3 linked regions of the Pelodiscus sinensis genome follow. The main gene of each other region encodes a partner of the protein of the gene in region 3 in a complex. Links are inferred from orthologs where the notes say so. Each region holds a gene or a part of one and is shown on either strand. Other genes may lie near its edges.

Region 1 (3,746 bases), on a different chromosome or scaffold from region 3:
GTGGTTCTCTTCCAACTGGGGCCACGGCATTACTGTACTGCAAATAATACATACAAATTTTACTTGGAGTCAGACTTTCTTTCCATCAAGTATGGAGGTGTTACAGTACTTATTTCCAGCAAGTCTCAAAAATATTTCCAAAAACAATGAGAACATATTCTGTGCAAAGTGACCTGGAAAGCAGCTTATTCAGAGCAAAAATTACTATGTATATTTTGTACACTCGAGGAAATGTGGTGTTCAATTAAAAGTGAAAATCAGATCCCAGAATATCACGTTCATGATAAACTATCCCTGTGATGCAAAAAACGAATCTCTGGCCTCAAGTCTTTAAAGCTTCTGGAGGTTAAAACTCTAAAATCAGACTATACTCTATCATATTTTGCAAAGCAAAATTGATAATATGCAATTTTGTGTGTGTCATACACACAGCAATGTTGTACACAGATTCAACCAACATGTCCCCTTTTAAAGATGTGCAACTCTGATGTAAACTGAGATTTCAATTATGCAGCAAAACCCTTAAACGGTTCTATATTTGTTAAATGACACTCACTACTTAGCTTTCTAAGAGAGACAGAGAACAAAAGGAACACAAGGAAAATATGAATTAATTGCTAATCCCTTGTACCTTTTTTTCCAAATATTTCCTGTCACTGCTAAAGAATATATTACCTTTCCAAACACTGAAGTTAGGAGGAACATTATAATTGGATTGTAGTTTACTTAGGATTTTCATGTTAGGGGTTACAAAAGCTTGGTGATTGGTTCCAATAGGCTCCCCCAAACACCAGACAACTTAATCTTGAGTCAGTCTCTCTTAAGCCACAACTTCCACCTCTCACTCAGCTGTACAAACTCTTAATTCACCAGACTAGGATACAAAACTAAAATTAAGAGCAGCCCAAGCTCCAGAGGGAAAGTATTGCTGGTGTGTTTGGGGCATTAAGTGTTTAATAAATTGCTGCAGTGGCCCTAAGAGATCGGGAACCACTTGTTTTGTTATAGAGAGGAGAGGTGGAGGCCTTCATGTAAACTGATAATTTAACTTGGCCATGATTAATGCTAGTAAAATGCTGAAATATATTTAATGTTATTTAGTAAAAATAGATGGCTTCTTGGGGATTTACAACAGTACCTCACCAATTCCCCTTCAAACAATCACTAAGCAGGAAAAGTTCCAAACAGGGATGCATGAGTTAATTACATCATGAGGGGACAGAGCAGGACCATATGGAAGTAGAATACGGCCCCATATGTCATCTAGTCCGCTTCAGCTCTCATATACTTCTATTTCCAAGATCTCCTCAATGGAATAAACGCTTAGGCTACATCTACACTACACTACACCAATTCTGCATAAGAGTTCTTGTGCAAAAGTTCTTGCACAAGAGAGCGTCCACACTGCCATGTGCTATTGCAGAAGAGATGTGCTTTTGCGCAAGAGCCTCCGTGGCAGCGTGGATGCTCTCTTGCACAAGAAAGCTCTGATGGCCATTTTAGCCATAGGGGTTTCTTGTGCAAGAAATTCATGTTGCCTGTCTACACTGTCCTCTTGTGGAAGAGCTCCTGCGCAAGAGGGCTTATTCCTCGTGGGGAGAGGAATAACTCTTCTGGAAGAAGCCCTGTTTTGTTACTTGCTCAAGTACACACGTGCAGTGTTCTTGTGCAAAAAACCTGCAGTGTAGACATAGCCTATATAGATTTCATGACTCTCCTGGAGAACTTTATTCTGATGTCCGCAGGCAGGAGCAGAGAAAGTCGCCTCAGCTCATCTGGACGGGTGGGAAAGAGAGCAGGGATTCCCACTAGCAGAGCAGCCCTAGGGGCTCGGGGGAGGGGGAGTCCCAGTGGAGCGTGGTCACAGGCCCAAGCACGCAGCAGGCTGGGAGCAAAGGGACGCCGGTGCCCGGACAGATTCCATCCCAATGGGGCAGAGAGCAGAGCGCGCGCCAGCCTAGGGCACTCACAGGGCCACTCTATCCGCGAAATGGCTAGCACGTGGCGTGAGCCGCTGCCTGCCGCTTCCACGCAGGAGGCCCCGGGTGCGTGCGCAGCGGGGGGGGGGGGGGTGAGCTCCGCTCCGGGGCAGGACAGAGGCAGTGGGAACTATGCTCCGTAAGTGGCCGCTAGAGCGGGTCACCGGGTTGGGGGGGAGGGGCCTCTCCTGAGGGGGAGCAGTTGAGGATCGGGGTCATGGGGAGGAGCCTCTCGCATGGGCTGGGGTCAGTGGGAGGAGCCTCTTTTGGGGGGAAATTACCAGCCGGGGGCACGGCGGGGCAGGACTTGCCCCCTCTCCCCCTCCTTCCCCAGTTGCCGTTTAAACACGAGCTCCTTGGCCCGGCGCCTAGCCCCGATGCGGGTGAGTGTCGGGGTAGGGGAAAGTTCCCTCAGCGGCACCGCGTTCCCCTACCTCGCGCACAGCCCGCCGACCGCCATCTTCGCTCCCCTCTCACGTGACCCGTTACCCGCCGCACAGCCACCTGCATCACGTGATGCGGACCCGCTCTTCCCTCCGCCCCGCGGGCTCCCAACCACGTGACGGACAGGGGCCGCAAGATGGCGCCGTCCAGTGAGGTGAGTTAGTCAGGGAGCTGCCATGGGCAGATGTATAGAGCGGGCCCTGTCAAGGGCTCCCTGTCGAATTATACTGGGGCTAAGGGAGGCATAGCGCGGAGGCGGCTGGGGGCGGGCGCTGCTGTGCGCGAGAGCCGAGACGGCTGCTGTAGAGCCCTGTAGGTGCCAAGGGCAGGGTAACGGGTGAAGTGTGGAGCGGGAGAAGGGGGCTGCGCTGCGGGGATGTGTAGGGGGCGCGGAGTGAACTGCGAGGGGGCGTGTCCGCTGTGGGGCCAGGTTAAGGGTGTTATAGCGCCTATGGGGCTGTGAAGATGAACTAGAGTGTAGCGGGGGGGGGAGCCTGTCACTGCGAGCTCCTGAAGGAGAGTCCCTTTGTCTCCTACACTAGCTGGGGCAGCGTTTCCTAAACTATGGGCTGTGGCGTGGCTGCCGGGAGGAGAGCGGGGCGGGCTGGGAGGAGGCCTGGTGGGGGGGAACCGGCCGCCGGGAAGCAGGCTTGGGGGCAGCGGGGCTGTCCGGCGGAGATGGAGGGGAGGCGGGCCGGCGGAAGCAGGGGGTGGGGGGCTGGCCGGGGGAGATTGGGAGGAGGAGGATGGGAGAACCAGCCTACGGAAGCAGGGCTGGACGGGGACAGTGGGGCTGGCCAAGGGAGATCAGGAGGAGAAGTGGGGGAGAATTGGCCGGCTGGGAGGAGGTCGGGGGGAGCGGGGGAGATCGGTGGATGGAGGTAGGGTGGGGAACCGGCCACTGGAAGCAGGGCTGGACGGGGGAGATCGGGAGGAGAAGCGGGAGGCGGGACTGACCCGGGCACATGCAGACCAAGCTACACAAATGAGTCTGGCCCCAGGGATTCCATTTTGTCCCCCATACCCTCCCTTGAGTAGTTGCGAACTGCTTGGCTGGTAGACACGCTCAGGCAGCGTGAGCACATCTACCAACCAGGCAGTTCGCAGCTACAGACTGATAAACCTCAGTAATAATAAAACTTACCTAATTAGAAAATACCAGACTGTCCGGTACAAAACCGGACACCTGACAACCCTACCCCTCCTAGCCAGATACCCTACCCCCAATCTGCTCCTGCTCCTGCCTCCAGGAGTGCCCATGCAGCACCAGGTCCCCCAAGCTCTGGCCCAGGCTGGGCGGAGGATGCAGCCTGGTGAAACACT
Region 2 (3,746 bases), on a different chromosome or scaffold from region 3:
AAAGGCTGGCTTAGGTGATGAGGCCCCTTAGGGTGGCCTGAGGCCTGGCCCAAAATTGACAGTTTCCTTTTACCACTGCAGTTCCTTCTCCTACAGCTACCCTAACAGCTCTGCTGTGAAAAACAACTGCTGAGGATGCAGGCAGAAGTGCCTTTGCTTTTAAGCTGGCACCCACATAGCCGACTGACCCTCCCCCTCTCACAGAGGCAGTAGCACAGGGAGGCACGTGGGAACTGGTGCTCAGGGAGAACCAGCTTAAAACTGATTAATTACTAGTCAAGTAGTCAAGGGAAATTCCATGGACTACTTAACAAGTAAATTAATTGTTATTTAGCATCCTTACTTCGGTGTGCAGGAGGGAGCTGCCACGGAGCAGGCTCTGGACAGGAGGTAGGGTGCAGGAGCAAGTTGGTGGTTCTGGACCATTCTGCATTTGCCTCGATTCCTGGCCAATGGAGGAAGGGGAAAAAGCCTGCAGTTGAGTGCAGGGACAGAGTTTTTCTTAACTACTGGCAATGAATGTGGATCTAGCCCAGGGAGGGGCAATGGTAGAGCACAGATCCACCTCCCCTTCCATCTCTTCCTGGCCAGGGAGAGCTGTCCCAGAATGCAGCGCTTTCGTAATCCTGTCTGGCTTCTTCCCACAGCAAGAAGCTGGGGGTCTTAAAGCTCAGAAAATGTAGTTGTACCTGTGCAAATATATATACACAAGAAAAACCAAGGTTTGCACCAATGAAACTCACCTTGCACTCTTACTATGTTTAGCTGCTGAAGAATTTATGTAGGATTTATGTACTCTAGCCATTGACATTTTTTTTATTTCAGCCTCTCGGCTTCTAAATTTAAGAATGAACTAAAACAGCTCACAGTTAGCTACAGAAGGTGGACTTGGAAAGGATGTTTAGAGCCATCCTTCATAGATTCTACTCTAAAACCAAAAGGGACCACTGTAATCATCTAGTCTGACCACTTATATATCATGGGCCATAGAACTCTCAAAAAAATAATTCTCCGAGCATCTATTTAGGAAAAAGATCAAATTTGATTTAAAAATAGTCAGTGATAGACTATCTACCATGACACCTGGGAAACTGACCCAATTTTACCCACTTCTTCTGCTGCAGGGTAGGTCTGTAAAAGGTTAACTGTGTAACTGTATGGAAACCGATGCTTATTGGTTAGCCATTTAAATGGTTTTACATTCCTAATGTATAGTACTATTTACTGTGCCGATAGTATGTGAAATGCCGACAGATAAGATATCTTAACACTAGATTCTGGATTTATTTTTGATGCCTTACCTGTTCTCGCCAGCAAAAGCAATTTATTCAAAGCCATTCCAAAGTTATGGCTATTTAAAACTAAATGTGTTTTAACAATGAAGTATTCAAAACAAAACAGTTCCAAAAAAAATCTGAATTGTATGGGTCTCGCACATAAACAGGGCAACACCCCTCATTAAATAACAGTCTGTAGAGATTAAGGGGCAGTCTGTCCATGAAGTCTGCATTAATCTTCTCGCAGGATCATCCTGAGCGGCTAAATCTTAGCTAATCTTAATGACTATTGCTCGGGGGCGGTTCCTGTCAGATGAAGACGGGGCAGGACACCGAGCGTGCAGGAGGAGGGCTGCAAGTCACCTAGCTGCTGCCATGCTCCTCGTCAGGCGCTCTGCTCGGCATCCAGCAGGACCCTGGGATTCTTTACTTCCTTGAAATGGGCAGGAGCCCTGCAAAGCCCTAAGCCCACGTCTCGTCGGAGGGGCACTGCCCTGACACAAGGAAAGGCTGCAGCAGACAACAGCTAGCGACAAAGGACAGAGCTGGGACTCCAGCGCCCCAGTATAGGGCCGGGGGAGGGGCACCAAGCCGCCCCCCCAGTGAGCAACAGCGGCTTTTCTCGTAGCCCCCCCCCGCTTTAGCCCACTGGGCCCGCGCGCCCCGCAGCCCGCAAGATGAGGCCTGGGGCCAGACTCCAGCGCCTCTCTCCGCCCGTACAGACCTGAAAGCCAAACTCATGGTTGCGTCCCCACCCCCGGCCGGACTGGGCTTCCCCCGCCGCCACCGGCACTGGACACCAGCAAGGGCGCCGCTCTAGCTCCCCTTGGAAACACGATACAATGCAGTCACTAGTAGCGGTGCTCCCTTCTGTCGCTAAGCTAACTGGCTGAGCACCCGCTTCCTCCCGCCCTCCTCTCTATCGTACCCTCTTATTGGTTAAAATGCTTGCCAGCCAATGTGACTGCCCGCCTTCTATTTAGTTTGGTTGAGGTACGCAGCTTCCGTTTTTACCCAGAATGCCCCAGGGCTTTGCATTGGCGAAGGGACGATTAAATTTCAAAAGCGGTGGGAAATGGGGAGAGTCCCGGATGTATCTTGGAGACTCCGCCCTTCCGTTGTGGCGTCAGTCCACCCTGGCTGAGCTTTGCAGGCCCGCCTGTGAGTCTGCGGCGCTGGGAAATGGTAGATGGTCATGTCTTCACATCCAGACATTACGTGTTCATTCCCTCATATTTGGATGTGCTGTAACCACAAGACCATAATGTGCTACTGGAACAATAATAGAAGTAAATAATGCTCAGCATTCCCCTGCTATCGCACACCTATCCAGTGTAATCCACTGGAAAATGTGTGTGTTGTGGTTCCTTGTAGCACAGGTTGGTCTATATATTGAATAATAGCATTTTTTTTCTACCAGTTCCTTGTTCCACTTCAGTTTTAGAGCTGTGGATTGAAGGTTGCAGTTGCTGGTATCTGAAATAGATCTGTATGAGGGTGAAAATAGGACACGTACCAACTCCCGCCAGGCTGTCCTTTCCCCCTTCCCCCCCAGTGCTGTGCCTCTGTATCAGAGGCAGCAGTGCTGCGGCAGGTGGGCAGTCAGCTCCAATGGAGCCACCTGCCATCCCCTGTTGCCTCCCACAGAGGCAGCACTGGCGAGGGGGTGGGGGGGGTAGATGGAAGCTGGTGCTTGGGAGGGAGCCAACTTAAAAGCCAGCTGCCCTTCCCCCCCTGCAGTGCTGCTGCCTGGGTGGGAAGCAGCTCTGCAAGAGCTGGCACACATGGAAAGCCAACTTAAAAATTGGCTCCTCCATGTACTGGCTCCCACTTGCTTTCTCCCTTCCCCCGGTAGGGGGAGTGGCTACTGTGGAGCTGGCACCCACCTCTTCCTGCTTCTAATACGGAGGAAGTTGGGAAGGTGCATGTAACCATCAGGAGGATTAAGCAGTGAGCCCAGAATTATCGGTAAATAGGTATACGCTAACATCTCTAGGTGAAAACTATGCATACATTTATACAAGTTAGTATGATAATCATTAAATAATTATCGGGATTATTTGATATTACAAAACATGCGATTGTTGTCCCTTTTCACCTGGTCAGCAGAAAGGGCCCTGATGATATTCCAGTTAGGAATAAAAGTTGAAGGAATCTTGTTTATTAACAGGGAACATACAAAGTCCTGTGATTCTGTAGGTAGAATCAAGAATACTGTACAGTCTCCAAGTCTCTTTAGTCAAATCAGACCCAAAAGCGTGCTCTAGCTTTTTCCAGTCACACTGTACCACATGATCCTGCTTGTCTTTCTTGCTTCTCCTTCCCTCTCTTTTTGTCTGTTTTCTGTGTCTGTCTGATCTCTCTTCTTACTTACATCGCTGCCCAAAACAGCATTCAGCCAAAAGCCTTGAACGAGTTCACATATACCTTCTGTTTCGTGGGGGGCTTCTTCCATTATAGTGGTATTAA
Region 3 (3,746 bases):
TTGCACAAGTGACTATTTACATGAAGCGTTTGTGATAGAGACCCCTCTGAGCTTGCACTCCTACTCTACATTTCTTGAAATGGTAATGGCCAAAGATTTTAAGCAATTTAGGTCCCCATGTTTAAGTTCCCATGGATTTGGGTGCCTAACTCCCTAAAATCCTTTGAAAGTCCTAACCTTTGTATTCAAAAAGCATATTAGCACAGGCATGTATTTCACACGTACATGCAATATCCAGAGTGGTATCTGCACTACTATTTCAGCCAGTTTGTACGCTAAAAATGCTCCAGGGTTTTTAAAAATACAAGAAAGTGCTCAATAGAAAAACTACAGCTTTCAGATCACTTTCCATCAAAGTTCATTCCAACAACCCAGGCCAGAGCTTCGTTCATGCCAAGACCAATAATTGATTCTAAAAGTTTTCAGTTTGTTTCGAGAAAGTAATTCTAATAAACTATCTCAAAGCAAGCACGCAGTTATTTCCACCTCGACTACTTACACTCCTGTACATGCGAGCAGGGTGCGGCAGGACCAGACGGTGCACAGTCTGATTGGTCACAATCAAGATGACGACGAGATTCTGCGTTTCACACACATGCACCCCTCCAGGTAAGAGGCTGCAGTTCTGGATTTTGAGCCGAATGGCATTATTCAGGAGATTTATATCCAGCGATTCCTCTACCAGCTCCAAAGTATCTCCGGAAGCGGTCCTGAAAACAGGAAAAAGCTTTTTATCTTCATGATTACAAAGCCTTTAGACTTACAGGGCAGGTCTACACTTAGAACACTGGAGCGGCATCGCTGCAGCACTTTCCCAGCAAGAGGGCTTCTCCAACTGGTGGACATAGTGCTGTCTAAACTAGGGGTTAGATCAGTTTAACTGTATTGCTTGGAGATATAGATTTGTCAACTCTTTCTGTATGACACAGTTACACTGACCTAATTTCCTCACATCAACCTAGCCACAGACTCTGCTTATTCCCACTGATTTCTCAGGACCTCCATGCAAAAGCTCAACCCATTCAGCAAAGCAGTTGAGCATGTGCTCAAATTAGGGATGACAACACGTAGCCTGGGCCTCTCAGTTAATCTTGTAGACTACAGGCAATCCCCCCCCCTGCCCCTTGCTGCCTCTGATTCGGATACCCATGTAGTCTCCCCACCATTTACCAATGAATAAAGCGGTTCCGGGTGACTGACACCAGCTGGGCGCTCTCCTGGTAGCAGAACCCACCGGCGCTGTCTGCATAGCGCCCAGCTCCGGAGCCTGCACTGACACCTGTGGGGGGAGAGGGAGAGAAGGGTCAGTGTAAGCAGAGTGGGAGGGTGCAACACTCAGGGGCAGAGGGGGGGTGTCACGAGAGCTGGGGGGGCAGGCAAAGAGGCAGAGTGAGGGTGTCTGAGGAGCGGAGGGGGCTGGCGGGGAGTGCGTTGGGGGGCTGGCGGGGAGTGCGTTGGGGGGGCAGGTTGGGGGGCAGGTGGGGAGTGCATTGGGGGGCTGGAGGGGAGTGCATTGGGGGCAGGTTGGGGGGGCAGGTGGGGAGTGCGTTGGGGGGCTGGAGGGGAGTGCATTGGGGGGCAGGTTGGGGGGGCAGGTGGGGAGTGCGTTGGGGGGCTGGAGGGGAGTGCATTGGGGGGCTGGAGGGGAGTGCATTGGGGGGCGGGTTGGGGGGCAGGTGGGGAGTGCGTTGGGGGGTTGGGGGGACTGGAGGGGAGTGCGTTGGGGGACTGGAGGGGAGTGCGTTGGGGGGTTGGGGGGACTGGAGGGGAGTGCGTTGGGGGACTGGAGGGGAGTGCGTTGGGGGGTTGGGGGGACTGGAGGGGAGTGCGTTGGGGGACTGGAGGGGAGTGCGTTGGGGGACTGGAGGGGACTGGAGGGGAGTGCGTTGGGGGGTTGGGGGGACTGGAGGGGAGTGCGTTGGGGGACTGGAGGGGAGTGCGTTGGGGGGTTGGGGGGACTGGAGGGGAGTGCGTTGGGGGGTTGGGGGGACTGGAGGGGAGTGCGTTGGGGGACTGGAGGGGAGTGCGTTGGGGGGTTGGGGGGACTGGAGGGGAGTGCGTTGGGGGGACTGGAGGGGAGTGCGTTGGGGGGACTGGAGGGGAGTGCGTTGGGGGACTGGGGGGACTGGAGGGGAGTGCGTTGGGGGACTGGAGGGGAGTGCGTTGGGGGGACTGGAGGGGAGTGCGTTGGGGGACTGGGGGGACTGGAGGGGAGTGCGTTGGGGGACTGGAGGGGAGTGCGTTGGGGGACTGGAGGGGAGTGCGTTGGGGGGTTGGGGGGACTGGAGGGGAGTGCGTTGGGGGGACTGGAGGGGAGTGCGTTGGGGGGACTGGAGGGGAGTGCGTTGGGGGACTGGGGGGACTGGAGGGGAGTGCGTTGGGGGACTGGAGGGGAGTGCGTTGGGGGACTGGAGGGGACTGGAGGGGAGTGCGTTGGGGGGGCTGGGAGGAGCAGGCGGGGGGCTGGGATGGGGGCTACTGGCAGGAGGTGTCTGGGGCGGGGCAGGGAGGAGGCTGCAGGGATGCCCCGGGGCTGGGGTCGGGTAGGAGCTGCGGGGGGGGGGGGGCGGCCAGGCAGGAGCTGGGGGGGCGGGGCAGCTGCTTGGGGGCGGGGCCAGGTGCTGGGGGGCGGGGCCAGATGGGGCTGGGGAGCCGATGCGGGGAGGGGGTGTCCCAGGCGGGCCCCGCTACCTGGCGGGCTCAGCGCGAGCTCCCGGACGCGGCGGCGCGGGCCGCGCTCGGCCCCGCTCAGCTCCAGGCAGCTCCGCTCGGCCAGCGCCGCCGCCATCTTCCCTTCCCGCGCGCCGCGCGGCCCCACGGGAAGCCGGGGACGGGACCGAGGCGCAAGGGGCGGGGCCCTCGGCTGAGGCCCCGCCCCTTCCCGGCCCCCTGCGGGAGCCACCCAAGGATTCTTGTGACGTCAGGGGCCGCACCGCGCCACGTGCCTGCAGCGCGCGCCCGGGACTGCCGCGTTCGGCCAAACCCCCCCCCCCCCATGTGGCGCGCGAGGACGAGGATTCCCCCTGCCTGGGCGGGCGGCTCGCGCTCATGCGTGCACTGCCCCCCCCCCCGGACCCTTCTGTCTACAGGCACCAGTCGCCCCGGGGGGTGCAAAGTAGCCAAACTTGAGCAAGCCCCCCCCAGGCACCAGCCCTGAGCATCATAGAGCCCCAGCGCGGGGGGGACCTCCAGAGACCACCACGCCCCGTCTAGCTAAGGGGTGGGGAGCTTCTCTTGAGCCAGAGCCACTGAGCCACCGAAAAACCACTCGAGGGCTGCACTGAGGTGGCCCCCGACGGAAGAAGAAAGACCCTCCTCACATTTCCCTCCACACCAGAGCCTAGGGGGGCCCAGCCTAGTAGATTTTGTGTGCTCCAGCCCCACAGTGGGGCAGCGGGTGGCAGGGGGGACTGGAGGGCCACCACAGGAGCCCCAAGCCTTGGGGCCAGATCCAGGCAAACCGAGGGCCCCATGCAGCCCCTGGACGTTAGGTTCCCCACCCTTGATTTAGCTCCTCCCTGACAGAGCCTCCCTGTCTAACTTGCTCTGAAAGATTTGCGCCAGGGTCTCTAACATCCCAGACCAGTCTCCTAACCACAAGGCTAGAGAGTGCACTATGTGGCTAAACCCCTTTGTTTTTGGTTTAAACCCATTTTTTTTAACCAAAAATGTCCTGGGTTTTACAAAAAATATTTTTTTCTGTTTTTCATCCTGCTGTTGTATCATTTAACTATATAAAAACAGCT

Evidence for each region.
Region 1: NUP160 (region 3) and NUP188 share a complex: the UniProt entries of both Homo sapiens proteins name them as parts of the nuclear pore complex. The link is inferred for Pelodiscus sinensis from reciprocal best matches to the Homo sapiens genes NUP160 and NUP188.
Region 2: NUP160 (region 3) and CETN3 share a complex: the UniProt entries of both Homo sapiens proteins name them as parts of the nuclear pore complex. The link is inferred for Pelodiscus sinensis from reciprocal best matches to the Homo sapiens genes NUP160 and CETN3.

The regions. Positions count from the first base shown.
Region 1 is NC_134732.1:11,927,314-11,931,059, reverse strand, and holds the start of NUP188 (nucleoporin NUP188), read right to left. Parts: upstream 2,541-3,746; 5' UTR 2,440-2,540; coding exon 2,414-2,439; intron 2,119-2,413; exon of another isoform or gene 2,076-2,118; intron 2,050-2,075; exon of another isoform or gene 1,971-2,049; intron 1-1,970. UniProt on the Homo sapiens protein: Component of the nuclear pore complex (NPC), a complex required for the trafficking across the nuclear envelope. Required for proper protein transport into the nucleus.
Region 2 is NC_134716.1:74,604,471-74,608,216, reverse strand, and holds the start of CETN3 (centrin-3), read right to left. Parts: upstream 2,160-3,746; 5' UTR 2,019-2,159; coding exon 2,002-2,018; intron 1-2,001. UniProt on the Homo sapiens protein: Plays a fundamental role in microtubule-organizing center structure and function. As a component of the TREX-2 complex, involved in the export of mRNAs to the cytoplasm through the nuclear pores.
Region 3 is NC_134714.1:129,151,464-129,155,209, forward strand, and holds the start of NUP160 (nuclear pore complex protein Nup160), read right to left. Parts: upstream 2,856-3,746; 5' UTR 2,789-2,855; coding exon 2,692-2,788; intron 1,280-2,691; coding exon 1,171-1,279; intron 711-1,170; coding exon 500-710; intron 1-499. UniProt on the Homo sapiens protein: Functions as a component of the nuclear pore complex (NPC). Involved in poly(A)+ RNA transport.